4 linked regions of the Rhinolophus ferrumequinum genome follow. The protein of the gene in region 1 binds, or shares a complex with, the protein of each later gene. Links are inferred from orthologs where the notes say so. Each region holds a gene or a part of one and is shown in the gene's direction. Other genes may lie near its edges. The genes, in order: CASK, LIN7A, DLG1 and NRXN1.

Evidence for each region.
Region 2: CASK (region 1) and LIN7A share a complex: the UniProt entries of both Homo sapiens proteins name them as parts of the brain-specific heterotrimeric complex. The link is inferred for Rhinolophus ferrumequinum from reciprocal best matches to the Homo sapiens genes CASK and LIN7A.
Region 3: the proteins of CASK (region 1) and DLG1 are in contact, whole or in part, in an NMR structure (PDB 1RSO), measured with the Rattus norvegicus proteins. The link is inferred for Rhinolophus ferrumequinum from reciprocal best matches to the Homo sapiens genes CASK and DLG1. Residues at the interface, in XP_038955489.1 of Rattus norvegicus: Gly339, Ala342, Ala343, Arg345, Ala346, Val347, Gln349, Val350, Ser353, Leu354, Glu356, Ile357, Leu360, Thr361, Asp367, Leu368, Phe370, Leu371, Ser373, Val374, Phe375, Asp377, His379, Leu380, Thr382, Leu383, Leu384, Asp385, Leu386, Tyr387; in NP_036920.2 of Rattus norvegicus: Arg4, Asp7, Thr8, Arg10, Ala11, Leu12, Leu14, Leu15, Tyr18, Lys21, Leu22, Glu26, Asp27, Leu30, Ser33, Ile34, Arg36, Val37, Ser39, Ile40, Phe41, Ser43, Leu45, Phe46, Leu49, Ile50, Gln53, Glu57, Val58, Leu60.
Region 4: the proteins of CASK (region 1) and NRXN1 are in contact, whole or in part, in a crystal structure (PDB 6NID), measured with the Homo sapiens proteins. The link is inferred for Rhinolophus ferrumequinum from reciprocal best matches to the Homo sapiens genes CASK and NRXN1. Residues at the interface, in NP_001354650.1 of Homo sapiens: Pro500, Met501, Gly502, Ile503, Thr504, Leu505, Lys506, Ala516, Arg517, Val549, Gln553, Leu556; in NP_001317021.1 of Homo sapiens: Lys468, Glu469, Tyr470, Tyr471, Val472.

What each region holds. Positions count from the first base shown.
Region 1 is NC_046284.1:92,023,683-92,031,405, forward strand, and holds the start of CASK (peripheral plasma membrane protein CASK), read left to right. Parts: upstream 1-4,718; 5' UTR 4,719-4,860; coding exon 4,861-4,919; intron 4,920-7,723. UniProt on the Homo sapiens protein: Multidomain scaffolding Mg(2+)-independent protein kinase that catalyzes the phosphotransfer from ATP to proteins such as NRXN1, and plays a role in synaptic transmembrane protein anchoring and ion channel trafficking.
Region 2 is NC_046293.1:74,413,300-74,421,138, reverse strand, and holds the start of LIN7A (protein lin-7 homolog A), read left to right. Parts: upstream 1-4,822; 5' UTR 4,823-5,079; coding exon 5,080-5,161; intron 5,162-7,839. UniProt on the Homo sapiens protein: Plays a role in establishing and maintaining the asymmetric distribution of channels and receptors at the plasma membrane of polarized cells.
Region 3 is NC_046285.1:51,451,071-51,458,197, reverse strand, and holds the start of DLG1 (disks large homolog 1), read left to right. Parts: upstream 1-4,122; 5' UTR 4,123-4,522; exon of another isoform or gene 4,523-4,533; intron 4,534-4,792; exon of another isoform or gene 4,793-4,874; intron 4,875-4,994; 5' UTR 4,995-5,023; coding exon 5,024-5,042; intron 5,043-5,738; coding exon 5,739-5,870; intron 5,871-7,127. UniProt on the Homo sapiens protein: Essential multidomain scaffolding protein required for normal development. Recruits channels, receptors and signaling molecules to discrete plasma membrane domains in polarized cells.
Region 4 is NC_046296.1:35,472,929-35,480,489, forward strand, and holds the start of NRXN1 (neurexin-1), read left to right. Parts: upstream 1-4,549; 5' UTR 4,550-4,681; intron 4,682-7,561.

The sequences.
Region 1 (7,723 bases):
GGGTAAATGATTAAACTTACCAGTGTTGATAGGCTTGTATTTCATATTGGTGACTTATTAATCACTTGACCTTTTCCTCAGTGCACTTAGCATAGTAAATTATGCTTCTTTCTATTGAGCATTGGGTGACTTACACGACTCTTTGCAACTTAGCCAGATCTGGGCTTAATATAAGTCACCCATTGGACACACTGCAGCTGATTGTGCATTTTTACCATGTAGTGTGACAGTTTAGTGGCAGCCTGGAAAGAAAGCACCAGGAAATACAGAAAAGGAAATTTTAAGGAGGAGGTACAAATTTAATTCCCCACTTTACCTTCAAAATCTCTCATAGCTAAGTCAGAAGGAAAAATTCTAAATGCTGTGTGAGATTTAAATTTGTTTTTTTCTACACAAAATATAGCTCGTAGAACTAGTTTCAATTAGTAGAAATAAATCCAATGCCCCCTTTTCTGGCCCTGCTCTCTTGATACTTCTTTAGCTCTGATACTATTGACTCTCCCTTCATCTGTGAAAATTGTATTTTTTCTGTTATGCATTTTCTTCCCAAGAATCCAACCACTTTAACTGTTTCTATTGGATCCTCAATCTCTTCCTAATTATGACTGATTCTCTAATCCAAATCAAGAAACATACAACTATTTATTTATTTAACAAACACATACGGAGTACTTACTATGTTCCAGACACTTTCTAGATTCAAGAGTTGAAGGAGAAAGGCTATAAACAAAACAAATAAAAGAGAATTCCAGGAAGTGATAAGGGCTATGAAGTCATTCATTCATTCATCATTCAACAAATGCCTTTTGAATACCTACTACATACCAAGCACTGTTCTAGATGCTGAGAATTCTCTTTCATAGACCTGAATTGGGCCTCTCCATGGTGAGCAAGATGGGACAAGGAGTTGGAGGCAGGAGCCCAGTGAGTAAAGTGAGGCAACATCTAAGTACGGGTTGAGGGTGGAGTTGATTGGGGTGGAGACTGAAGAAGTGGAAAAGAAAGGCACAATCCAAAAGAAATTTTGAAAGAAAAATTGACAGAGTCTAATTACTAGCTGAACATGGAGAAAGTAGAGTGCTAAGAAAAAGCCAATGCCAGCGCTTGGGTATCTAGGAGAACAGGGAGCCTTCCCATTATTCATTCTGCCCTTCTCCTATCAAAAAGTGTCCTGACTTTCCTTTGGGGACTTTTCCCATCCCTACATTCTCAGCCATGAGATTGATTCTCATGCCCAGCTTGAGGGTGGGGCCTGATTGGTTAAATGATTCAGTGACTCATTCCGTGGCTACAGAGATTGGTTCAGGGATGGTCATGTGCCTTAATACAAGGCAAGCAAGAGACAATAAATCCTAGAACATGGGCAAGATCTACTGGACAAGACTCCTCTTTTCCTGGATGCTGATATATAAGAAGGTGAAGTCTGGAACAGTAGCAGTTATTTTGCTACTTCAAGGGGAGAGCATGGAGCTTTGGGGGCCACCTTGCGGAACCTAAGGATGAAGGCAGTACCACAGAATGCACAATGATGAGACTGGGAGAAAGTGGATTTTCAGTGACATCATCTGAGTCCTAGATCAAGCCTCACATGAAGCTATTATACATCTCAACTTTTCAGTTACGTAAGCCAAGGATTCTCTGTACTGTTTAAGCTGGTTTAAGTTTTCTGTTACTTGTAACCAAAAGAATCCTGACTATTGCAGTCTCCATTAGCACATAGCACAGTGTTGAGTCCCCAGGAGGCCAATGAGCACTTGTGATCTTAAGTGGCTCAATGAATGGATACCTTTTGATTTCATTTTGAGTTACAACATGTTCAGTGTATACAGGCACTGTGCTGTGTCCAAAGGCAATCTTGTTTCTACTGTCAAACAAAAGTTTCCAGTGACTTGTTCACTGATATTAAAGGAAGAAGGGTAAAATGAATCTTTAGACAGAGGTTTACAGAAGGAAACACATTTGTATTCATATCCTCTTCTGCTCCCTGAAGTGTTCTTTTGCATTTGTTATGGTTTCTCCACCCTAGTGATGAAGTCAGCCCTGGCTCCTTTTTTCTTGTCAGTGAGCTTATTCAGAGGCCAGTGTTAGGGCAGTGGTTCTTAATTTTTAGGTGTACAAGAGTCACTAAGGGAGCTTTTAAAAATATAGATCCCTGTGTTATCCTCCAGGAGATTTAGATTCAGTAAGTCTTGGGCAGGGCCCAGGAATCAAAAAGTTTTAACGTTTTTCATATGATCCCAGATGACATGGATGCAGTTGTCACTTTGAGAAACACCACTGACTTAGGTTGGGTTCCTCCAAAGCAGATCCTGATAAGGGGATTCATGAGCAAATGATTTATTAAGGAAGTACTCCCAGGAGAAACCTATTAGGGAATGAAAGAGGTAGGAAAGGGAAGGGGAGGGAGCTAGGCAAAGTCCTGCGGAGGGTAGCTGCAACCTGATCCCACAGGGAAGCTCAGGATGTAAGTAACCTCTCAGAGTTGTCCCCTCTCCTAGGGAAGGGAGCTGGGCTTTCACATTCCTGCACTAACAGCCAGATGGGGCAGACCTAAACTCCCAGGCACTTCCATGTAGGCAAAGTGATTCCAGTAGCTTGTGGGAAGTCCTCTGAAGTCACAGGCATGGGCTTTGGAAGCAAAAACATGCTGCAGCTGGGGGAGGGGCACAGAGAAAGGTAAAAAAACGGATAGGAAGGAATTTGAGTGGAGCACTTACAGTGTCAGCTCCAACCATTTAAGGGATTTCAATATTTAGTACAGGAATATCTACATTTTAAATGTAACTAAGGGAGAGGATAGTGTGCACCAAATGAAATGTGGGACCCTCAACAGAAGCAATTCTCAGGCTCTAAAGCTCCCTTCTCTAGAGAATGCACAAGCACATTGGGAAAGGAGGAAAGTCTCCTCATACAATTATATTTTCTCCTCTGATTTGCATTTTTTTTAAAAAAAGGTTTAGTACTCAAATCCTTAACAGTGGCAAATCTCTCAGCCTCTGGAGGGAGTGGTCAAGGATGTACATAAAACGTTTCTGAAGAGAAAATAGGCTGTGGGTCTCCACCCACCCCACACACTTTGGTAAATACTATGTTTTCTTTTTCTTTTTTTAAATTACCGCACTAAGAATTTTACCAGATGATTTCTAGAAGCCGACTTATGAACTAATTGGGCACTTCTGCTGTGCAGAGGAACAAAGACTTTTTTTTATTGGTCCTCAACTGAGCCATATACCTGTCTGATGGCGTTGGCTCATTCCGCACATGCTCAGTGGAACAGAAATCTTCATATTGAATACAATCTAGCACAGCGGCAACACCCAGAACCGCACTCCCTGGTTGACCCTGTGCATCCACTCCCTCTAGTTGATTTTTTATCCTGAATTGTCTAACATTTATAGGGAGTGTAGGGAGCAGAGTAGGTCCTGTGGGCTTGACGGGAGGTGGGGAGCAATATACAAAGGGGCTTAAAGCCTGTTTGTTCCTGCCTTCCTGACCTCTCTCTAGGCTGTCTCGAGAGGGGGCAGGAGCTGGGTAGATATTTGTTAAGTTTGGGCAGAATGCGGGAGAAGCTGTCCCTATAAATTGCCATTTGTTGTTGCACACCTTCGTGGACAGTTTTTGTTTGGTCCGGTACTTGTAGGTGGACGACCCCCCTTATCCAGCCCTCCTTTTCATTAAAGAACGACAGAGTGGCATTAAAAGCATTCGCCGCCTGGCACAGTCTAGAAGAGTGACAACCTCTCCACCTCTTGTTTTCCCATTCATTAGGACCCTTTCCCACAAAAACCGGGAAAGGCTTCCTGTGGTTACAAAGAAGGGGGTTAGAGCGACTGGGATTCTGAGCCTCTCGCCGCAGACAGCCAACAACATGCGTTCGGTCGTGGACCTTTTGTCCTGGCCCCTTCCGCGGCTTGGTCGCGGAGGTGACGACCCGGACCAGCCACCGCCTAAGCAGCTGCCACCCGCGCGCCCCGTGGGCCAACCCCCGCCCCTTTTAGAACCGCGGCACCCGCCCGTTCGCCGTGACGTGACCGGCGGCGCGCGCATGCGCCACTCATCCCTGTTCCCTTTCCTTGGGCCACCGCCCCCCGACGGGCTGGAGTGGGCGGGGCCTGTGGGTGGAGAGGCAGCGCGGCTGTAGCGGGAGGAGGGCGTGTGTGCGCCGGGCGGGTGCGCGGGGTAGGCGAGCTGGTCGGCTGCTGAGGCGGAGGAGGAGGAGCTGAAGGCGGCGGCCACGGCTCCCGCCTGCAAGGAGAGCCAGTCCCGCGAAGCCCCCTCCCATTCCCAGGCGGGCGGCGGCGGCGGCGGCGGTGGCGGCGGCGGCAGCGGGAGGAGTAGAAGGAGGAGGGAGCGTCTCTGCCGCCGCCTCCTGGTCCCCAGCGCCGATCTGCCGCCGCCACCTCCCTCCGCGGCGATCCTCCCTCTATGGTCCTGCCGCGGCCCCTTCTGTAGCCCGAGCTGCCCCGCGCCGTGCCCGAGCCAGCCTCAACAGAGGGAGCGGTCGCGACCTCGCGGCCCGCGCGGGCTGACGAGCGGAGAGCCGGGCCGCGCGGTCCCAGAAGATTCGCACGCCGGGCAGCGCGGCCCGAGCAGCGCGAGGAGCAGCGGGCGGGCGGGCGGCGCCGGGCCCGGGCCGCCCTCGCTCCCGCGCCCCGGCCCGGCCGCCCGCGCCGGGGCAGTCGCCCGCAGAGGAAGGCGCCGCAGTCTCTGGGCCTCGCGCCCCACTCGAGCGTCCTCAGTACCGGGGGCTCGCGAGTCCTGAGGGGAGGAGGCGAGCCAGGGGCCGGGCACTGAGCTCTTTGGCGCCCCCACCCGCGTTTTTGGAGCCCTCCACGCTGCGGCCGCTGTCCCCTCCGGACCATGGCCGACGACGACGTGCTGTTCGAGGATGTGTACGAGCTGTGCGAGGTGATCGGCAAGTGAGTCTTCACGCGAGGGAGCGGGAATGTGGGAAAATGCATTTCAGTGATGCCCGGGTTCTCCCGTACCCGCACCCGCTCCGGGCCTGCCCCCTGCCCTCCCTCACCTCCACCGCCCTGGTCTTCCTCACCCCCAAGCATTTATAGACGTGTACCTGGACCTCCTGCCGGGCGGGGGTCTGGGGAGTTCCCAGCGATCCGTGGAGGTGAACGAGCCGAGGTCGGCCACCCCTTGAGGCGTGGGGCCGGCTGAAATCTGCTGTCTGCATTTTATCTGACGGTTGCACAGGGACGTGGCCGAACCGATTTTATAGTTGCTTCCTGGGAACAGTTGGGATTATTGTTACCTTGTGTGTAGCACAGACCATTGACAAAAAAAAGCAGCTTGCATTTCCTTTGCTTGCGTGGAAAGAAAGAGAACGTCCAGGGTTTTTAATTGTGGGGTGTGTGTCTATTGTGCAGGATATTAGATAGATGTCTTTGTGTTCACCCCATGCCCGGATCGGAGGGGGTCATTTGAGACAGGGTACGTTCAGTTTCAGCAAATTCCTCACCTGGTATAGACGAACGTGGAAAGAGTTGGGGGGATCCGAATTTTTAATGCCTCGTTATGCAATGACTGTTAAATCAGTGTTCAAGGCTTCCCTCGACTGTTGTTGGGATGGTGGTTAGCGTGGTAGAGCCGTCTGCTTTGAGTCACCGGGCTGGTCTAGAATATAGAACTGACAGTCCAAATGCTCATCCTTTCATCTGTGTTGTATAATTACACTAGGGAAAAGCAGGGAATCAGATTAATCACAGTGCTGATTGAGAATTAAATCTGCAGTTCCTCATCTAATTGTCCATTCCTTAAATCTGTTTTGAATAGTTTCCTTTTCATTCTTGTCAAACAGTATTCCAAGTGCACAATCCTGCTAATTTGCTCGTTTGGGAAATGCTGGCAATCTGAAGTTGATTTCGTAGTTCAACGTGTATTCTGTGGGTTTTGAAGTTGAGATAAAATTTAAGAGCAATTCTTGCTTATTTTTTAAGGATTACTAGATAGCTACCATTGAAATATTTCACCTCTTTTTGGAAGCGGTGCTTTATTGTCTATTTTAAGGTCTGTAGTTGGGAAATGAAACGAAGATCTTAGAGCAGTTGGCTCTCTTTTAAGTTGTCTGCAGGGCTGGATTTCAATTTAAGTGCTGATAACTCATTTTTTCCCTTCCATGTTGAGGTATTACAGTGTTTCCTCACATGGTGAAATTGTGGGTAGAGCTTGCTGCACACTTTCCTCAGACCCAGTTGATAGGAGGACATGTTACTCCTTGTCCCTATTGTTTGTTACATGACCAGCCTGTCTACTATAAGAATATCCAAATGTGCCCCTGGTGAAGTAATTGTGGAAGTGCTCTAGAGCAGCGCTGTCCAAATGATATATAATGTGAACCACATGTAATTTTATATATGTAAATTTGGCATATGTAAATTTTCTAATAGCCATATTAAAAATATTAAAAACAAATAGATGCAATTAATTTTAATAAAATATTTTATTTAACCCAATAGATCCAAATTATTAAGATATTTTACAGCCTGTCATACTCAGTCTCTGAAATCCAATGTGTATTTTACACTAACAACACATCTCAATTCTGACACTACGCTACATTTTCATAGGAAATACTTGATCTGTATTTAGGTTTCATAAAATTTGCATTTGCAAAAGTAGATTCACATACCCAAGTTGTTCCAAACATACCTAAAAGTTTTCCAATAATGGATTCAAGTATCTTTCTAAATTTAAATTTAAATTAAATAAAATTTAGTTCCTTAGATGGACTAGCCACATTTCAAGTGCTCAGTAGTCATATGTGAATAGCACAGTTCTAGACAGACAAATACGTAACAAAAAAAAATCCCTTTGGTTTCTTTATTCTTAGCACCCAGTGAAGGTGAATTAGGTGCTAAGCCCCCAATGATTGTGTCTGTATGGGTGAATGATGTTTGTTATGTCTTAGTTATATTTTATTTAAATGAGCCAGCAAAGTCATAATTGGAATTTGTGAGATTAAAATGTTAATTATATTGTGGTGATGGAATATAGCCATCATTGAATCAATGTTAGTTACTAGTTCTGATTCCTTAAGGTCTGGAAGAGTGACGATGTGATCTCTTTGAATATCGAAAAGAAGTGGTCAGCATCGCATTAGCACAACCAATATTCTGCTGACTTATAACTGATACAATATTCTCAGGAAACACCTCTGATCGAAGTAAATTCATCTCTTCTGTTGCCTCAGAGCTGCATAAGGAGGGAGAGCAAGCTAATTTTGAGGTGATAGGTGCTCTATGGATACCTTAACTAATGTGAATGTGAAATCTCATTCATATCCTACAAAATCTGACTTGGTCAGTGCCATTTATGTCATTCCATGAAATAATGAAATTCAAGGTAGCCTTTGTGGGAAAGCATGTAATGATAGTGTTCCTCACCCTGTGTAAAGGTTGAAGGTTTCTCCGGTAAATTGTCTCAGCATATATTGATCTGGAAATTGAAATTCACTTGCGATTTTCTTACAGGAACCTTGACAGCATACATTTTAACTTAGAATTTGTTCAACTCTGGATTTAAACAGAAAGGCCTTGAAGATGTTCATTTGTACTGAAAACCTTTTTGTTGACTTCTATCCAAGTTCTCTGGAATTGTGATTTTCTTTTATGCCAAATTAGTATCACAAGTTGGTTTTGACCCCTAGGTCTTAATAAGTTTAAATTTTCACTGAGATTCTTTAAAATGGATTTCACTTTTCAAGACCAGT
Region 2 (7,839 bases), on another chromosome or scaffold:
GACTCAAGATTGAATATATTAATTTTTTTAAGGTGAAATGGTAATCAAAATATTTTTTAAACTATTAAAAGTTGTGGGTTCTAAAAGTTTGGCAATATCTCCTAAGTAGATGTGAGAAAAAGATGAATTCAGTATCACTTTTAAAAACCATTTTTATCTCGCCTCTCTTATATCTCTTAGGCGTTCCCAATGGTATTTGCCAATGTAAGGTTGGGATGAAATAAAATTGTAAGCTTTGAATTTAAATTTCATTGTAAAAAGATCTAACTTCTAACTGTGAAAATAGAAAAAAAAAGATTCATTTCAAAAATGAAACAAAAACATAATTTTATATTCAATGAGTTAAATATGCATAAATAAAGCACCCTAGTACTAGAAAGACTTTGCACTTATTATATGTGCTATTGCCTATGGCAGATTCAGAGTAAAAGTTAATTATTATACTTACGATTTGCATGTAATGTAAAATAATGGAAATAAGACCCTGCAACCGAGGAATAATTATTCAGATTTCAGATTTTCTTCCCTCAAAGTTCTTTTCTCTTTCTTTTGAAAGAAATAAAAAATAGTTAGAATTGACTTTTAATTTTTTATTTCATCTTTAATTTTCTAACATCCAACTCTGAATTAGTAACTCTTCATTTCATTCTGATGTTAGTAATTTTTAATGTAGATCTACAAGAGAAGTTTTTTTTCTTAGTCCAGACTGTATTTGTATATTTCATTTCATTGTATGATGGGCACACAGTAAGTCATGAAAATGTTCATTAAATTTCTGTTAATTATGTTATTTTTCACTACCTGACTCTCAATGGTTGTCGTATCTTTTTTCTTTTTTCTTTCTTTCTTTCTTTTTTTTTTTTTGGAGAGCTCAGCTCACAGTGACCCACGCAGGGATTCAACCTGAAACCTTGGTGTTATCAGCACCATGCTCTAACCAACTGAGCTAACTGGTCACCCCAGTCTTGTTTTTCTTATACTGCCTATTTTATGCAAACACATACCATGCCTACTCTGGCTTTATGCACCATCCCTGGCTTTACTCTCCTGCTCCTAGGAATGCCGTTTCCCTACCTCTGTGTTTTGTAATCCTGACATTTTTCTAAACCCAATTCAATTGTCAAATTTTTCATTCTTCACACAGTACTTAGTCATTCATTGTTCTCTTTCTTGTTTACTTATTACTTTGTTTACTGTCTCTCCCCAGCAAAACCAGGGCCTTTTCTTGCTCACAGCAATCCTAGTGCCTAAAACAGTGCTTGGCATATAATCAGTACATTATGTATTTGTTGGATGAGCAGATACATATGTAGTTGTCAGAACAAATCTAAGGATAAAATAAACATAGAAAGATTTTCTATGTATGATGATTTTTTAAAAAAAAAAATCCACAAACATTCATATTCCAAAGTATTGGTTGGCACTGCATCTTATTCTAGTGCTATTTTGACAAAGCTGTGAGAATTAAGGAAGATAACATGATATTTTGAATCAGTCAAAAACAATTTCTAACACCAAAGGCTGAAAGAATTCCACTTTGAAGGTGCTATTTTCCTCATACGTAACTGTGCTTATTATATTCCATTTATAATCTAACTAAACACATTTTCTTAGTATGCTAATGTTTTATGCAAACCTTCACTTAATTTTGTCACATAATTTAAAAGATTCAATTAAGTGAAACAGACCTTAACGTAACGTAAATTTTTTAACAAGAACAGATTTTATATTTCAAGGTAGGTAGTCATTTTAATATTAACCTATATTTATATAGAATGGAACCAGTATCATAATTCTTTTCTGCTTTGACTTAAATTTCCTCTATACATTCCTCTCTTTGAGTATATCTCAAACATAATAAAAAAGGAAAAGGATATCTATGAATAGGTGATAGATAAATACAGACATAGATATAGATATATAGGTATATACCTGGAACTCTGAAATAAAAGGCTGAAATCACTAAATCTTCAATAGTACAAAATGAAGTATGTTTTTTAGTGAACAGCACAGGGGCTTTTGAATACAGGTGTTATTATTCTTAAGCAAATTACTTAAACTCTCTGATTCTCAGTTTACTTATCTATAAAATGGAATAACAATACTGACTTTTTCTGGGCTGAAAAAAAAGGAAAGAGAAAACAACTTAGCACCGAGCCTGGAATATATAAAGTGGTTGGTATTTACTGAATTAATGAATTCCACTAAAAATATAAGTGCCAATGAACTAAATTACGACACAGAGTTTAATGAAAAATTGTAGTGATTGTGTAGTCAAATTGCTAAAAGTATAATCACAGGTGTTTTAACCATTCTCTGATTAATACACAATCAACACAGCAACATACACATGTGTACATCAAGTATATTGACCTTGATGAAACACTGGTTGGTACAGGAGTGGTCCACGCAATTATTCAAGAGACCTAAGAATGGTCAGTCACATCTACTAAAGTAAAAGAAGAGAGTACGGAAATTTTCTTATGTCACTGCATGTCTCAAATAGAAATCCACATATGTTATTGTAGAGACAATAGTAATTCATACTTCATAAAAAGTGAATTCTAACAGATGATGAATTGTTTATTATTCATTTTCTATAGCTGTGTAGGCATAAACTAAAGGCATTGAACTTGCCCCTACTAGAAATAATAACTGATGAGTATATGGTGATTTGCTCTTCCTCTTACTTTCTCTTTCAATCCTTACAAAAACTCTAGAGTCAACAGAGAAGAATGATAGAATAAATTTTCAGTTAGGGAGCTCAAGGCATATGTCCAGAAACATGCTATTAAATGTTTGGTGCTGGGGATACATCTGGAAACAAAAAGACGAAAAGCCTACATTTGTGGATATCACAATCTGGGATTTGTGTTGAAATAGGTACAATTATGGTTTTTAGACTTATGAATCATGCCATTCAAATCCATATTCATAATAAAGTAAGTTCTTAAAAGAACTACATTAGTGGGCAAGGGATTTGTATGTCCTTTTCATCCTCAATTACTGAATGAGGTTTGATATTTTGTGCAAAACCTTGGAACATAATCTGCTTTTATTGTGCACAATTCAACTTCTTTCTGTTGTGTGATTTAAGGGATATGAATAATGATAATCAAGCAGAATTGTTGCTTTTACCTCTCTCCCACAACACTTCCTTTCTGTGGTGCTTAGAGCACTTACTGCATGGAATTCTCTTAGCTAGTTCATTATTGGTCTCCCAGCCTGAACTGAGCCCACTGTCTGAGGAGAGGGCCACGTCTTGTGTAAACCTTTGCAAGGCCAGCACCTAGTAGGGTGCTTGCCACACCCTTCAGGTGGGATATATGTTTGTCATATGAATAAATTTATATATAGTTTACTGTTTCCAAAGCACAGTCACATGCATAATCTCATCTGACCCTCAGAAAATTCAGTGAGATTGCAGGGTAGAGTTAGGTCGCTCACTTTACTGAATCTCAGTGATAGTGGAGCTTATTCCCTTATTCGATAGATGAGGAAACTGGGGATAAAGGAGAAATTATGTGATTTCTGAAGAGCACAGAACTAAGATTTGAATTTCAAGATCAGGTTCTTTCTAAAACACTAAATGAAAATATAGGCATGTTGAACTATTATTTTAAGGATGTCTTTTCAGGTCTGTGAGGTGTATGGCCAATCGTCTTTGACTTTCTCAAATCTTTGGTGAAATCTTGCTTTCTTTTTGAAAAATGTAGAACATGGATGGAAAAGATCTTAAGAAATCATCCATATTGTGATCAGAAGACAGTGACATACATTATATGTCAATGTTTTGCTATAAAACAATATATTGCTAGCCAAAACAATTCTGTTCTGTCAGAGGGAAGAGGGTGGAGGTAGCTTTGTCATTTATAATCCTAAACCCACAGTCATTACCATTCTGTTTATATAAGATTTCTATTTACTTCTTAATTTCTTTTTTTAAAAATTTTTATAAGAGTTTGTATTAACCAAACTGATAACATAGGCTGGGGAGCAAAACCTCAAATGCTACACAACTTCTTAAGTTCTTTATCAGGAAATGAGAGTCTCAACAATGGCAAGATAGTAAAAGCAGTCGGTTGGGATGATGAGGTCGTAGCCGGTATTTGAAGGTTCTAGTAACTGAATCCTGATCAACTGACTCTAAAGTCACCCTTTTAATAACATCATGTCCCACTAGATCATGAGCTACAAGAAAACAGGAACTGTGTTGAATCCCTAAGTCAAGCCATGGCACATGGAATGTAACACTCCTAGCTCAGTTCCTGACACACATGCTAATTAATAAGTGGCAATTGAATAACCTCTGGCTATAGATCAACCTGAAAAAGTGCTATGTAGGTACATGTTTTACAAGTGTAATGACTGAACGTCTCTTTGTGTTTTTTATTTAAAAGTATATTTAAGAAGTTTGCTTTTAAGATAAGTTATTTTCTAGGCAATATACTCAGGTACTTAATGGACACCACTTGATGAACCTGGCCTTAAGTCAGTTATCTTGTATACTGTTATAAGTCAACATTCTAAAAAAAAAGAAAAAAAAAGAAACTTTAACAGAAATTAACAGCAACTATAATTAAATCCCAACATTTCTGAACTAGAAGCATTTTCTCTCCAGGTGATGGGATTACAGGATTGACAATTTCTCTTAATCTGAAAAACATTCATCTTTCTACCTCCCTCCCCCATACCACGTTTCAATCCTTTCCCTTCCCCCAGGCGCACGTATACTCTGACCATTTTATTTGCGTGGAAAGTTGAAAGAAAGCAACACACCAGCTACACCCGTCTGGTGCTCCTTGGGGTGGAATAGCAAAGTTCTAGCGCAGAGCCTTTCTTCCCAGACCCGCGACGCAGTCGCTCCCCGATACCTGCTCAGCCTCACGCGGCATCTGAAGGTCTGGCCTGCCGCGGAACAGTTGCGTCTCCATCTGGCTGCCAACCCATCCAAGCTTTCTTCTCCTCCACCACCACCACCACCTTCCCTCCTTCCCCCCTCCTCCCCCTCCTTTCCGTCTTCCCTCTCCACCCCCGCCCCCAATCTCCTCCTCTTTTTCTCACTACAAGCGGTTGCTGATGCTGAAGCCGAGCGTCACTTCGGCTCTCACGGCAGACATGGCGACATTGACAGTGGTCCAGCCGCTTACTCTGGACAGAGGTAAGGGAGCGGCTCGCCGGTCAGGCCACTGAGTCCCCTCTGCCACCTCCTCAGTCCCTGCCAACTGCCACCGGGACAGGCGGACGCGCTCGGGCAGGGGGAGCAGAGCGAGCGAGGACGAGCGGAGAAGGCTAGGCGTTCGCGCCGAGAGCAGGATACTTTCTTCCCCTTTCTCTGCCCGCCACGTCCCCGCTGCCCCTTCAAGCTGCACTCGCCCGGCCCAGCGGTGCCTTCGCCGGACTCTGGCGCCCCCACAGCCACTCCCAGCCCCTCGCCGGGTCGCCTCTGGGCCGCTGGCTTTGTTGGAGCGGAGGCGCGGGGACCGCTAGGCTCCCGGGGCTCGGGGTTGCGGAGGGGCAGGGAGGAAGCTCGCCGAGCCGGGCGGGGGCGCCTACACACCCGAGACCTGGAAAGCCTGGCGGGGAAACCGCCAGCCAGCCAGCGCGGCCCGGGGTTCAGGAAGAAGGAAGTTTGTCGGTGCGCCGGGGGGCGATGGTCGGTCCGGCTATGGGTGCCTAGGCTGCCACCCTGGGGCGGACGGAGCGCAACCAGGGGCGGCTGGTGTTGGGGCGCCCGGCGGCTGGGCTGCGGCAGTGGAGAGCTGCCCTCCGCCGAAAGGGCAACGCGGGGCGCAGGCAGCCGTGCCCCGGCCGAGGGCGCAGCATCGCGGCCACGGAGCCGGGTTCTTCCCGGCTTCGCGCTCCGAAGGCTGCGGGAGTCGCATCTGACCCCGCCGCCGCCAGCTTTCTGGCAGTGGCAACTCAGTTTCCCCTGCCCCAGCCATCCTCCTTCTCTTCTATCCGGTGCCACCGCGGTGCCCGGGCCGCGGAAGGCGCTGGGATGCAGCGCAGGCTGGGTTGAAATTCAACTTCTGACCTGTGACCCTGTGCGTCCTGCTGACTTGAATGGGGAAAGCGAGTTTGCTTCCTCCCCAGGACCTCCCCCTGCCTGAGGATGGAGTCCTCTGCTGTGATCGGGGTTTCTCTGCTGCACCCATGAAAGGTTATACCTGTCCCTGTGTGTTTGGTTTCCTATCTGCTCCCGACGTCCAGTTGTGAAGGCGCTCTAGTCCCAAGACCCTGCAGCGGAGGACACCTGCTTGTCCCCCTCCGCAGCGGCCGAATTTAAGACCCTGGGCGGCCATTTAGAAATGGTGTGTTCAGACGAAAACGATTTAGTTCGATGTGCCTCTAAACATAGTCTTTCTAGTGGATTAAACTGGACAGTGAGGCAAGGCAAAAGAGCATCCTGCTGCGAGTACAGTGAAAAAGCCAGTGAACTTGATGAGGTTTTTAATTTGGAGAGATTGTGGGTGACTTTAACGCAATCTGTTGGCGCCAGAACAGATGTTATGTGGTGCCCATAGCAACCTTAGTTGGCGTAAGAGTTGAAAAAAAAATTGATTTTAGGTTGGGAAATGTTGATTTGCAAAGTAGTAAATTAATAACAGTAAGTAGTTGAAGAGCTCAGAAATCCATTGTATAATCCATGATTTCACCCAGATATCATCATCTGCACTAAACAGGACAAATCCATTGCTGCTGAGAGCCAAACAGATGGCAAGCTATTAGAAATTATGGATTTCCTAAGTATTTCTGTTTTAATGTAATGAGCTCTTATATTGTCCCATTACTAAATCAGTCTTTAAATATCTCAAGTAAAACGACTACGTTAGGAGAAAAGAAAAAAAGAAGAAAAAAAAAAACTCCAGGAAAATTGCATACCTGAGCAATTTTCTATACTACTGCCTACTACTGAAAATACTTCCCTTTTTGGTTTTACCTTAGCCCTTAGATGCCTCGCTCAGTTGTGGAAAGGAAGTACAATCTGACCAAGATCCATTCTTCAAGTTTGTTCTTGTTCACAGCCAGACTACCTATCCTTCCCAGTGTGATCAGTTTCAGGCAGTAAAGTAGCTCAAGAGGCAACGCTGGGTGAGACTGTGGATGTATCTGAATAAATTCACCAGCAGCTCACTGCAGTCTGTAATTTATAGATGATGGGTTATTGGCCGCAATTTCCTACCAAAAATATTAAATTAAATTAAATTGAAATAAAAGGAAAGGAAAGGAAAGTCTCTTAAAACAGGCAGCCCTATAATACTTATCTGGGTCCTAGTTGTAACTCTGATACTCAGTTTGGATGAGTAAGTTAGTTAGTCTCCTTGGGCATCAGTTTTCCTCTGTGCTACATAAGGAGTTTGGCTTACATGATTCTGATGCTGTGTAGCTTTCATTTGATTAATTATAATTAGGACTCAGTTTTTGGTCTCCTACTGGAAGATTTTCTGGATCACCCCTTTCTCCCGGGTTGTTTTGATGCCCTTTGCTGTGCTCTGAAGTCACTTGCTGCTTTGGCCCCATCAAAACATTTCTCACACTCTGTTGCATCTGTCTCCTGATTAACTAGAGCTCCTGGAGGGCAGAGACCATTTCTAAACTCATCTTTGTATTCTCAGGGCTTGACATAGTCCCTGATTACAGTAGAAAATCACAAATTAATGTAAGTTAGTGTCAGTGAACTAAGGACTGCAGTAACTTAAGCACTGTTAAAATGTAGGGATTTAGTAGTGACTGAGGTGCAGTTCATAGATTCACAACGTTTTGGCCCTGGGAAGGATGGCAGGGAGAACATAGGCCAGTATGTTCTTTACCTTTCGTTTTCCCTATACACTTGTC
Region 3 (7,127 bases), on another chromosome or scaffold:
CTTAGCAATGGTGTCCTAGACCATGTTATTTATCTTGTCCTTTCTCAGTGTCCTCTCCTGCAAAGTGGGAGGTTATAACCAATAAGTTCATCTCATATGTCATTGACTACTATATGAAGGGGTATACCAGTATAAGAGTATACCAGTTTAAATGGCAGGCGGTTATTAGTCCTACACCTACTTCGGAACCCATTACTCCATAATATAAAATTTTGAGGGTGGATCATCCATTAAAGAGCATGAGTTCAGTGCCCATTGTCATGGAGATGGGCAACTGTCCACATTTTAAAAAGAATTGGTTTCAACTTGTACCTTTTGTTCTCATAAGAATTATCTATGCAGAAGGAGGTCAATCCCAGTATCAATTAAACTGGGTAGAATGGATTCTTGATGTATATAACATGGTACTGATACCAAAGAAGGGACTGAAGTTTTAAGTGCTTAGAACTTTGGTTTCAGAGGTCACTTAGTCCAATTTGCTGGCCTGGGTATTTGCTCCCTCTGAGAAGGAAGCCTTGCTGGATTCTTTAGCCTCTGCTTGATGGGAAACTCCCACCACCTTCCAGCAGCTTTTTGGAATTTAGAACAATTCTGAGAAATCATGTTAAAGAGGAACTTCCTATATCCCTGTAATTTTCATCCATTAGTTTTAGTCCTGCCCCCTGAATACACAGAATAAGGCTGTTTGAAGAATGAAGTCAAGTTCCCTGGGGTCCTCTCTTTTCTCAAAGAAATGGCCTTAGATTCTACAATTGTTCCTCTGGGGCCAGGTTCCATATTCCCTATCGTTTTGGCTACTCTCTTCTTTCCAGATGCTGGTTTGTCTAGATCCCTCTTAAAGTGTGCTGCCAGGAAATGCCCCCCTGAGCATTTTGTGGAGGTCTGACCAGCTTAATCACTTCCATCATTTTCTCAACACTGTTCCTCTTCATGCAGCATAAACTGGCATAAGCATTTCTGACAGCATCAAATCCTTTCCTTTTAGTGATTGCCTGGCACAGGCAGCACACTGCCACTCGGCCAGAGTGAAAACAAAAGATGCAGTAAAGTCTGGCGGACCTGGGCACCTTACAGAAGAGGATAGGCTGGGAATGTGAACAGGGGAGAGGACAGAGTTAGAGACGTGGAGCTATAAGTGTGGCTTAGTTGGGGTGCTTGGGAAGGGAAGGTTTAGAACTGAGAGATAGCTAATTTGGGGCTGAAAAAAAAAATTTTTTTTTAAATGAGGAGATTGGAAAAGTAATCAGATCCTACATTGGATCCTATTCAATGGCAGATGCTACCTGCATAAAGTAAAGAAGACTTCAAGGAAATAAAAGTTGTTTAGAAAAATCCAGATGCCATTGCATTGCATGTTTCAACGATGTGGTAGCCAGCCTCCAAGATGGCCCCTAGTGATTCTTTCCTCCTTTGTATTATACTCTTCAGGGGGATATTATACTCTTCAGGCGAATAGGATATTGTGGAAATGAGAGTGTGGCTGCTGCCTTGCTCTCTTGGGTCACTTGCTTTGGAGGACATCAGCCACCAAGTCACAAATACACTCAAACAACCCTGTAGAATGATCTTTATGGTGAGAAACAGGCTTCCTGCCAAGAGTCAGCATCAACTTACCAGCTATGTCAGTGAGCCATGTTGGAAGATTCTCCCTTAATCTAAGCTCAGGCGTCAGATGACTGCCGCCCAGATAGACATCTTGACTGCAATCTTTTGAGACCCCAAGCCAGAACCATCCAGCGAAGGTCCTCCTGAATTCCTGACCCACAGAAACTGTGAGATAATGTTTATTGCTGTTTAAGTTACTAAGCTACTAAGTTTTAAGTGACAGCTTTGAGGACTTTGTTATGCAGCTATAGATAACTAATACAGATGGATAGAAAGGAGGAATGGGAAGTAAAGGCCCCTCACATTAGGCTGGGACTTGTCTTGGCCCCTAAGGGTGGAACAAGCGGGTAGCTTCATTTTTACTTTTGGATAATGCTGACAGCCACGTGGGGCTAGAGGATGACAAGAAAAGGCATCGTGCCTTCTTGTCTCCTCTTCCTTCCTCCCCCCTTTATTTTTAGGGAAGGACAAGGAGGACATTGAAAACTCACAAATTTTGTTTTTGGCTTTTCAGTGGCTCCTGGAAAAAGCTGCACTGGCCTTCATCCATTTGTTACTAGGCTGTGGGGTCCTTGAGAGCATGGCTTGGATCTTATTTATTTCTATCTACGTTGCCTAGCAAGTGAACACTTGTGAGCAATGAATAATATTAAGGAGAAGGGCAAAATCCCTTCCTCTGTTTCCTGAATTCTGAAGATTCCATTCTTAGAATAGAATCACAGTTTGTCAATGAAATCTTGATAATAATAGTATGCATGGCACCAGCCATTTTCACTATTAAAAAAAACCCATTTCACTATTTCAAAAATCCCTCTATTCAAGCTCCTTGTCTTTAGGAGCTTCCTTTCACTTTTCCATCCCATTTCTTCTATGAAATGTTGCTTTAACAGTTGCTTGATGCCATTATACCAACATACCACTGTCAAGTTGCCCCAAAATCACAGTGGAAAGAGCCCGGAATGGAACTAGGAGAACTACTTTTGGGCTGCTGTCACTGATTAGGCTATATGTCCTTGGGCAAGTTGCTTCCCCTCTCTGGATCTCGGTTTCATTATCTTAAACTGCGTGGGTCTGGTGGGTTCTCACAAGTTAGAATTTCAAGGTGCAATCCCAAAGTGAAACTAGTGGTCACTATACTTCTGAATCACTATACTTCTGTTAATGGTTACAGTACAAGGTTCCCCAGACTTCCTTTTTATTCCAAGGATATGGCCTCGGTGAAAGGCTGTCGGGTTTACTGGGAAGAGTCTTTCGGTTTTGAAAGACACAATCTCCGTGTTTCCAGTTTTGTCGCTAACTGTGGGTGACCTTGGGCAAATTCTTCTCTCTGGATCTCAGAGCAGGGAGGTCCCTGTTATCTAGAAGGGGCTCAAGGACCTGGGCAGTGACTTGGAGAGCTTTCCGCGAGATTCTTTCTACAACCTGGGTAGCTCAGCCCCTGAACGGGGTCCTGGCCCGCCCGCAGTCCCGCTCGGAGGTGCAGTCGAAACTTAAACCAGCAATGCGAGTTAAGGCGGCTGTGCTTCAGAGGAGGTGGCTGCAGGTGAGTTCTTAAAGGGGCCGCCTGAGCTTGGGTAATACCTGAGGCTTATGACGAGGCAGGTGTCGCAGGCAAGGGGGGAATGAATGAATGGGAGAGTGAAAGAAGGAACGAATTTTCTCTTCCCATCATTAAATGTATTCATGCTTTGAATTAATCACTTAGACTTAAAACTCCTCTAGTAAAACCCTCAAACTCTTATCAATCTTCTTATTTTACGTGCCCTTCTTTAATTCAACCCCCCAAAACCTTTTACTGAATAGTAACTTTAAAAAGATCGGTACAAAGTAGAACATAGTGCAGAGATGGTACCACCCCCCGCCCAAACTCCCCCCTTGCTCCCTTCCTAGGCCCCATTCTCTCCCGCCCCTAACGTGGGTGGCACAGTCAACTCCACCCCGAGACCGCTTTTCTTGGTTGGGGATCCAAGCCTCGGGGTGTCAGGCACTTTCTCCTGACGCGGAGATGAAAACAGCACGTGTTTAGTGAGGTTAAAGGGTGTCTCGGAATGTGTGTCTTGGATCTCGTATAGGTGAAGTCACGTCTGTCTTCAGACACTCCGACCTTCCCGGGTCTGGCTCGCTACTCGCTCAGAACAGAGGGACACACCGGTGGGCTAGGGCGAGGTAAAGGCGGGCTCAGCCAGGGCCATCCCAGACCACCTGTAGAGTCCATGTGTCACTCCTTTGTCCTCAGAGCCTCTACGGTGGCGCCCCTTTAAGAGAGGGGGTTCACTTGGGATGCTCTCCTGGTCCCCGTTCTCGTTCCCCAGGCCCCTCCCGGCCCTCCTCCCCTTTCCAACCCAAAGGTAGCAGCGCTGAGAGCCCGGGGCTCGGCGCGAGCCGCCTCCTCACTTCCCATTGGCTGAGAGCGCCGGGAAAGCGATCACGTGGGGGCGCGGCAATCCAGCTCCGGGGCCGCCATCTTGGCGGAAAGTTTGGGGGGAGAGCGGTTGGGGGCGCCGAAGGAGGCGAGGTTCCGGGGGTGGGGCGGCTAGGAGGGAAGAGGGCGAGCGGGCTAGCTGGCTGCGGCGAGTAAGGAGGCGGCGGCGACATCGGCCGAGGAGGAGGAAGAGGCAGTGGGGGTGCGGCCGCCGAGGGGAGCTCCTCCCCCGTTCCCTCACCCCCCTCAGCTCAGCTCCTTGCCCCGGGCGGGGCGGGGGGACGTGGAGCGGAGCAGGGCGGGGGAACCGCCCCGAGTCGGATCGAAGCGCACCCCAGCTCCGAGCGCACGCCGCTCTCAGGAACTTTGTGGCGGTGCCGCAGGTGTGGGGGCCCGCGGAGGTGTGCATGTGGGGCACCAGGGCGTCGTGGAGAGCGGCCGCTGCCCTGTCCGGCCCCTGTTGGAGTAGCCCGGAGGAAGCAAGCCAGGAGAAAGGCAAGCGAGAGGTAGGGGCCCGGGTAGGGCGGGGTGATGAGCCCCGCTGGTCCCTTCTCGGAGCGCTTTACAGCCTCTGCTGGCTTAGGGGGCTAAGGGTCGGAGCGCCTCTTCACTCCTCCCCCCACACCCGCCAGTAGCAGGTGGGGAGTGTGCATACTTATGCCGGGGGAGGGATGGCCCCACGTCTAGGCATTTAGTGCCCTTTGGAGAGGGGGCAGCTTTGGAAGACAGTTTGGAAGCCGACTTCTGCCTGCTCTTAATTTGCAGAGAGGTGCCCACCCCTAGGTAAAACCTTGTCTAAATTGACTGACACTGAGGACCTTCCTTTCACTTGGGAAAACTTTGCCAGGTGAGCTTTTCAAATACGGCTGGGAGTTTTTCGATTTGAGATTTAGGGGGAAATCCTAGTTTAGCCAGGATTCTATTCTCTTCTTTAGTTCTTTTTCCTTTCTGTTTTGTGTTTTTAAAGGTGTGTACTCTTCCTGATTCTGGAGAAAAATGCCGGTCCGGAAGCAAGGTGAGAATTTATTTCGGAAATCTCTTGTGGATGTCACTTGCTTTTCTGTATGCCTTTTTTTTCTCATTGCTGTATTTTAAAAATGTTTGTGGAACTCTGATGGGATGGCACAGTGCTGGCTAGCCTTACTACTTAGGGAATCTAAGCCTCACGTCATTCAGAAGATGGAAACACCTGTATGTTTGTCAAACTTTTTACCTTGGCATCTCTCTAGTGATTATCAAGAGGCAATTTTTCCCCTCTGCAATGTCTTTAAAAACTCTGAATTGGTGTTTTAATATTTCATTATCATTCTTACTAAACACTTTTGTGAGCAAATGTGGAACTGGCTAAGAGCTAGTATTTTGAAACATTTAAGCTTTGGATTATAATGACCAATTGTAGATAATCTGCTTTTGCATATCAGATCAGCTGAAACTATGTTACTAATACTTTTATCAAATTATCTTTTATTGTCTACCTACCAGACACATTTATTACAAACTACTCACCTTCCTCCTTTTTCTACTGTGACATGTTTAAATTTTTTTTGGATCATTCTAGGGAATATGTGTATACATGAACATAGTAGCATCTATTGACGAGATGGATTTTGGGAACTGTTTAGCTGTCTTAGAGAATCATTTGCTACATAGCTAGTGTGTAATACTTTCTTGTAAATATATAATTTTAATCAGACTCTATTTTTCTTCTCAGATACCCAGAGAGCATTGCACCTTTTGGAGGAATATCGTTCAAAACTAAGCCAGACTGAAGACAGACAGCTCAGAAGTTCCATAGAACGAGTTATAAACATATTTCAGAGCAACCTCTTTCAGGCTTTAATAGGTGGGAATTAAAATTTTATTTGTGACCATTATGTGTCAGCTAGGTTTAATGCTCCTCTGAATTTGTTTATTTAAGACTTAAGAGAGTGATGTACTTAGTTCTCTGTGAGGCATTCAGTAACTTTAACATCCAGTGAATTGTATATTTTGATAGGCCAATATCCTTTTCAAAAATATCTGAGAACTGAAAAAGCTTTCAGTATGATTATTTTAGTCTTAGAAAACAATATTTCACATCCTAGCATTAACAACTAAAAAAGGGAGTAGTTACAAAATTGTTTCCAAACCCAAAAGGTAACAACTGAATAACTGTTAGCTTGTTTCTGTGACTTGAATTTCTCTGGAGTGCCTGAAAATGTTTGAAGAGTTTTGCTATGTGTAAGAACATTCGTTGCATTAACATAGACTTCTGTTTAAACTGGGAGTCAGAATTTTAGATCTGGAAAATCTTAGAGATGATTTTGTCCAATCTTATTTTATAGACAAGAAAATTGAAACCATTTTATTCTTAATTGTAACTTAAATTTGAGATGGTGCATTGTTTTAAAGGAGAACTGGACAAATAGTTACAAGTCCTGAATTCTATTCCTGACATTGTCATTAATCAAATAACATTATACAAATCATTTAATCTTTTCTAGGTAACTGTAATATGTGGGTGCAATGCAACAGTGGTTACTAAGCCTTTTTTCAAAGTAGTTAGATCCTTTTTTAAAACAAAATCTTATATTTTGTAACCAATCCCCATTATATAAAACAAGGTGATCTATCTCTGGCCTCTTCTCCAGGTGCCTCGAAAAGTGTGCGAACCATTGAAGTAGAAAATTTGTCCCCTTCAATTCTAAGAATGAAATATTTTTTTAATTAGTTATTGACTGTATAACATATTAAAATAGGATGTATGCTTCATTGCATTATAGTTGTTTCCTCAGTAACTTCCAAGTAGATATGGCGTACATATATCTATTGATAAAATAACTTTTGATATGATTTAAGGACTACCTTTAACTTAGTGTACCCTGTCAGATAACTTATTGGTAAATTGATACTTTTTTTTTTAATTTATTTTTAATTTATTGGGGTGGTAAATTGATACTTTCTACTGAATTTGTTTTAGAATTCAAGAAGGTTTTAAAGAAGACCACTCAAAACACCTGAACAATTTAAAAAAAATTTAACATTATAACTTTAAAAAAACATTTGCAAGAATAGGGAGAACAGTATAATGAACTGCTATATGTACCTGTCACCCATCTTC
Region 4 (7,561 bases), on another chromosome or scaffold:
CATTGTTGTGTGTAAGTAACATTTCACATTAAAAGGATACCGGGCTTCTTAGGTTAATGGCTGATCCAGGCCTGGGGCAGGAAGGCAGAAAATGTACAAATGAGGCAGGGAAATCTGGTTATAACAGAAAACAATAAAGTTATCAGACTATTACTGTTAGATCAAACAGATTTAGGAGGCAGTTTGAAGAGACTCCTTTTACTGGATAAAAGTGAGACATTGACTAATATTCTAATAATAAAATAAGCGGATTGAAACATAGCAAACCTCTTAAGATCTATCAGTTAATAATACTATAAAATTCTCACTGGTCACTATATCAGTCATTCATTACCAATAATCTTGTGAAGTAAACCACCCCAAAACTCCATGGTTTAAGCCAAAATCCAGGATTCTTCCTCAGGGTCTGAGGTCTCCTGGAGGTCAGCTGCTCTAGTTGGGTTTGCCTGGGCTTGATTCCAAGCAGCAGAAGGGGTCCAGTTCCCGCCTGCATTTTTGTTATCTTCCTTGGGTCAGGAGCAAATATGTTCCTCTTGTGATAATGACAGAAGGCCAGAAAGAAAGCCAAACCAAACAAGCACATGTCAAGCTGTTTATTGCTTCATGGCTGCTAACATGCCTTTAGCCAAAGTCTCATGACTGATCCCGAAGTAAAGAAAGGGAAGCACACTCTGCTCCTACTAAAAATGAATTTAAAAGTAACAGCGAGGATGTAGACACAGATAGGATGGAGAATTAATGTCAATAATTTACTCTCCCACAGTCACTTATGGGACCTTTTCTAGAGAACCAATTAAGATTCTAAAATCTCAATAAATAAGAAGATATCCTTAAAAATATGTATTCTGCCTTTCCAATACAAACTATACATCAAGATATCCAAAGAGTTGATGGCGAATGTATTTCTTCATCTAATAAATGAAGAAAGAATGATAAAATTAGAATATCACCATTCTTGAATACTCTAGAATTAGAATATTGCCATTCCTTTACCTGTAATGAAATAACATACTGGCTATCACTATTGCTTGTTAAACATATTACATATGAAGATTGTGGAGCAAGGAAACTCAAAAACAATACCAGTGTTCTCAGGAAGTAATTGAGAACCAACCTAAATAGACTGTCAGTAGCCAAAGATGACAAAATTTGAACATCAATTAGCATAATAACAGCCATGGACCAAAATCCATTAAAATATTTAAACGCATGAATCATAAAGATATTGAACACAAACAAAATTCAAGCAAACAAAAATAACACATTGTTGACATTTGGATGGTAGAAATAAAGGCACTATTTTAAACACAGGAAAATAAAGGAAACAGGCATTTGTCCAGCTTTTTCTATATGAACTATGACTCAGGGTAACTAAATAGTTCATAAAATAAAGTTACTCTTTATAGGACTATTTCAGTTAATAAATTAACAAGGATTGAATGAATTAGAATATCACTATTTTATAACCTCTAATTAAATAATAGATTTAAATAATGATCATCAATTCCTAACATTACCCAAAGAAAGACAAACAGCTCTTGAATAAAATGCATAATGTTTTCCATAAAGCAGTATTCCCCAAACCTCCTAACTTCAATCTAATCAAGTCTCTAGATCTCGCCTCTAATTTATATGAGATGTAGGGGACACTGAAGCATGTTACCTTAAACCACGAGATGCAGTTTGTAAACGCCAGAGCGTAGGAAACTGTAATGCAGCAATTTCTCAGAACAAATAAGATTGTCCATGAATTAATAATTGTTGAAGTTGAAGGAAGGGACATAGAGGTTTTAATCATATTTTTGCATGCATCTCAATTTAAATAATAATTGTTTTCTTAAAGTAAACCAGTGTGCATTTTTTGAAAGTGAAGCATGGTTTAAACAGAAAAAGTCAGTCTTATTTTGGGGGTGGAGAGCCCAAGTTATCCTTTAAGCTGTCTGACAAGAGAACCCAAGTAACACTGGCTAGTGGACATTTTCGGAACCACTGATCTTCCCCTCTGAATACTATTCAGAAGGCTACCTAATATCAGTGATATTCAGAAATTAATGATGGCACTAAAATGTGGGCTAGTTTCTATGGCTCAGAAGTTAATCTCTCATCTAGAACAGTAACGAAAATTCCTGGGATAGAAGATTGAACAATTCAAAAAAAAAAAAGAAAAGAATCACTCATGTGTCCATATTTATGCATTAGGCTAAATATGTAAATATGTTTCCTACATGTCTGGTGATCAAATGTCCTAAGTATCTTTATAAATAATTTATGATGATATGTCCTCATAAGTAATTGTTGTATATTTCATAATAAGAAACTTTTGTGAGACAATTAATGAATTGCCACCAATACTTAAGGAAAGTGAGATGGAAATATGGTGACTCTTTTCTGCTGTCATTTATATTCCTTTATCATCCATGAAGGACTGGCATTACGTGACATCGTTTATTTTGTTCCTCAAACTCTTGTGTGCTAGATCTGTCCTCTTATTGTTTTTATGTTGTTAAGCCTCTTCAATAGAGTAATAAGAATTTTAATAGCGCAAAGGCAATGTGCTTCCTGATAAAACTGTGCAAGGACTATTAAGAAATATTTATCAGTGTTCTTGTTGCCTTAACTACAGAGGCTTTTATTTTCAAATGGGACTTTGAGTGGGTGTAATAAGCAGCTGATTTTTCTAGACTTGAATTTCACAGGGAAAGACCTTAGTTCTTGGATTTGTGACTTTGGATTAATGGTATTTATTGACTTTGATTATGCTTTTTAACTGAAGATAGTGGGAAGCTTTGGCATTAGAAAGTCTGTTAAATGTATTCAATTGTATGTGTGAAGTCAACTAGTAAATCATAAATCTTTAATTTGGAAGAGATAGGGATTGAGGGCACAGTCAAAGTTTAGGAAGATGGATGGAGAGAGAGAGAGAGAGGGAGGGAGGGAGGGAGGGACGGACGGAGGGAAAGAGGGAGGGAGGGAGAGAGAGAGAGAGAGAACAGTGCAGAGAATCAGTGATATGGAGGGAAGGAGGGGTGATATGGAGCCTATGAATAGATACGTGAACAGAAGTGCGCCTCTGTGTCATCCATGGATGACAGTGCACTCATGGAACTTGTTGTCTTGTGTTGGTTACGTAGGCCAAAATTTAAATGTTTTAGTTTCAGGAAGGAAAGTAATAAGTAATTGATGCTGGTAATACAAAAATTGAGAACAAGCCCTTTCTGTACTTTCTGGTAGGTACATTTCTAGAGCAGGAGTGCTGTTATATATACAGCCAGATGATTACTAGTCTGGCTCTGTATGTTAGCTCTCATGCCCATAAGGACACTTATGGACATAGGCTATAACATAAACCAGAAACTCCCCAGAAAAAGCACCAGAGAGAAATCCAAACTACAATTTTTGCTCAGCCACTACTCTTGTTATTAGTCGTGCTATTTCATTATTTTGCTGTTTATAACATAGGGAAGAGTAGTCATATGTTCCTCTGCATTTGGAGGCTAATTGGGAAATGAGAGAGCTCCTTGGAAGACGGGCTCGTCCCACCAAATTACTACACCAAAACCTTATATATAGTACATATACTGGGGATGCCAAAAAATGTACACATTTTAGGAGATGTTACCTATGTATTACTTTTCAAAGTTGAATTAAGTACAGTAGCAATGTATAGCATGACATTCGCTCAAAAGATGGCATTGATCAAATGAATGCTAGCGTCATTCATTGTATTACAATTTGAAAACAGTTTTTTCCTTTCTTAAAATGTGTCTATATTTTTTTGGCACCCTCTGTATATATCACAAACAGAAGGATTATCACCCAGTGGTACTCAGGTTTAGGATACAACAGAATTTTATGGGGCGGGGGTGAAAGTTAAAAATTCAATTTCTGGGCTTCTTTCTTATAAAATTCCAATCCATTTCACTATTGGACTGGCCCAGGAATCTGAATTTTATTGAACAGCCAAGGTGATTTCAATATGTGTAGTTCCTGGAACATGATTATCATAAACACTAATAAGCTGACACGATATGAAAAGAGGTAAAAATTAGAAAACCTACATTAATTTTTCATGAGATTATAAAAAAAAAATAATGCTCTCATTGTAAGAATCTGTAGGTTTATTTATAAGCATATGGACCTATTACACATTGTATAATTTATTGAATGTAATTCTTACTCAGTTATAATATTTTTAAATGTAAAATAGTTGACATGATAAATTTCCCACGAGGTAAATAAAATTAAAGTCTCAATCACCTAAGCATAGCATTCACCAATTCTTGTCATTTTTAGCATATCAAATATATTCTAATCTAAATTTCCAAACTGCATAATCTAATAAAAGTCACTTGCTGTGAAAGTCCCATGAAAACTTAAAGAGATATAAAAATGCCAAGTCTTTTTAAATTTTTTTTGGCATTGTTTTGAATAGAACCAGGCGCAGTCTCTGGCCATTTTTTTTTACCACATAGTTCCCGTTAGCACACTTTCCTCTGCCAACAGATACAAGCAATAGTGAATAGCTGTCAGTCTACCCAACTGTTTTTCCAAGAATAGTTCTCGGACAACAGGCAACAGAATCACTTAGTATTTGTTATAAAATACAGATTCCTAGACCCTCCCTTACACATATTCACCCAGAATCTGGTTCAAGACGGGTGCATGATGATCATGGATATCTGTAAGTAAATAATGTTCAGTTTTAGAGTTTGAGATGCTCTGCATAAAGATGTTAAATCCTCTCATGAAGTACAACTGAGAGGGAAAAAATTAGGTAGCTTGAATTTCCACTGTATTTTCTGAAACTGTTAACATCTTTCAATAGTGTCAAAGGAAAGCCTCCGATGCAGGACCAAGGCTGGGGTAAGCTGAATGAGGCACTTGCCTTGGGTGTAAAAATTCAGGGGTGATTACATGATAGAAAATAAATAATAAAAGCAGGATACAATGCTGTGTCAAGCCACACTGAAACTGAAGTAAAATAATACTTAAATAAATTAAAATTCCATAGTATTTACATTTTCATTTTTTTGTTCACCATGGATATTTTGGGATTGATTTTATTTTTTAATAGTACACTAAAATATTGTTCATCTTGATAACTGAGTTTTTCAGGGCCCCACCCCCTTAATTTTTGGACCAAAGACAAATATCTCACCCTAGTTCTGGCTCTACTTCTCGGCGCTGTGCTGAATGAAGTTGCCCCAGTTATTTTAAAGTATATGGACATCCAAACATGATAAGTTTTTTCCCTCCATTACATCTCCTGGGTAAATATGTTTCTGCTTACAGGTAGTACCAATCATGTACACCAAAATAATCAGGTCTGTTATGTTTTCCTAAAATAAACTTACATTTTCCGAGATTAAGTGCCCTAATATATTTGATTTGGTTAATATATTTTTTAAAATTAACTAGCTAATGTACTAAAAATGAAACGAGGTAGGGAGGAGGATGCGTAAAGAAAAAAATCATACTGAACTGGAATGCCTGTGTCCAGGTTTGGGAATAAAGTGAAAAATACTGTGTTGATTAAATAATAGTTTTCCTCAAAGACTAATACTTTATTTTTTGGTTATTATTTTGTTCTATTTTATTGTTATTATTATATTTTTTTATGAAAGAGTTTCTCTAAAGAAAATACTTTTGAAGTCCCATGACCAAAAAGAAACCCAAGCCAAGTATTTGATTGCTTACTAAGTACTTGTTGTGACATGTTATTCATAGAAGCAGATTTTGTCATACTGGTTCTTTCACTATTGCAGAGTTTCACTATTGTCTTCATTAGACTAAAACAGCTTGTTTAAAACCTACACATTGCAGGGCTCTTTTGAAAATTGTTCAAACCTGGCATAGATTTGAGAAATAAAAAATAATAAGAAATCTGAAATATAAACTTAATGTTAGCCTTTTGGTCACAGTTAAAGGAGCCAGGGTTTGGTTAATTGTGGAAGTGGAAAAGTGGACCGATGACAGCAAAACATGTTGGTGATAATTTCTTAAAAGGCTTCAAAAGAAAAAGAGCAAATGTAGATGAACACAATTACCACTGGAGATGTTCACCAATATGTTAATAGAGAGTATCTCTGGAAACATGACTCAGGTGCTTTTAATGTCCCGTAACGTGCATTGTTTAATTCTTTTTCTATGAGATTGTTTTGCCTGTATACAAAATATCCTCATAGTTGTCACTTTCAAAAATGCATTCACATCCTAATGTTAGTGGGGAAGTTTTGGGGTTGGGACCTAAAGGGTATTTTTATTTTATTTTTATTTTTTGTATTTTTTGTATTATAAGGATTATGAGGCCCTGAATTGCATCAGTTTTATATAGTAGAATTTTCAAACACATTGCACATTGAAATTGATACTTTATTAAAGTGGTTATATTATTGTCCTATACAATGGTGGAGAATAGAGCAGGAAGACTATTTGAGGTCATTTTAACTTCACAGTTCTTTATTTGAAACGCTTTTTCAAAAAATGAAAGAGTACTACAGTAAACTTTCAAGACTTTTGCTGGTTCCATTAAGTTGCTGCATGAATGGGGTTCTCCAACCCAATTCCAACATGGAGGACGAGTTCCCCCGACACCAACAAACAATTATTGAACATAAATAGGGTATCAAAGAATTCAATGCAATTTTGACATTATTTACCTGGAAGCAGAATCAGATTCCCCAGGTTAAGAGCCCTCGCTCACCTTCAACACACACACACACACACACACACACACACACACACACACACTTCAGAGGCCAGCTTAAGCCCAGGCCCTATGCTTATGTTTAACTGGCTACACATTGGAGGGTCCAACCATCCTCTTCATGAGTTCAACTAATTTGTTAGAATGGCTCACAAAACTGGGGAAAACCCATTTACTCACGAGATTACCAATTTTTTTTTTTTTTTTTACAAAGGATATTAAAAGATGAATCAACAGGCAGATGAAGAGATACAAAGGGCAAGTTCTGGAGCCAAGGAGCTTCTGTCCTTGTGGAGTTTGGGCCCAGCATGGTGGCACTTGGAAGTGTTTTGTTTCCCCAGTGTGAAATCTCTCTGAAGTTGAAAGACCAAAGAACTGTCCTCCAAAGTTTTTATAGAAGCTCCATTACATATTCATGATTGGTTAAGTCACTCAGTTGAACTCAATCTCCAGGGCTTCTCCCCTCCTTGGAGGTCAGTGGATGGTGGGACGGAAAGTTCCAAAGCTCTAGTCATCCAGTTGGGTCTCCTGGCAACCAGCCCCCACTATGGGGTGTGGTCCTAAAGTCACCTTCTTCACAAAACCACAGATGCCTCGATTACTCTCCCAATTAGGAAGGTCCTAGGGTTTGAGAAGCTGTGAGCCAGGGATTATGGATGAAGACCAAATATCTTATAAAACACAGTATTGCAGTCAACCCCCTGGACTTTGGACATGGATCCCTCACAGCAAAACAATTACATAAGTCAGAAGATGCTGGCACATTCCTGGAATTTCATTCAGTCATTAATAATTATCCAGTCCATCATCTTATCATATGAAACTGTCTCTCAGGGAGAGGACACTGAGGTTTTC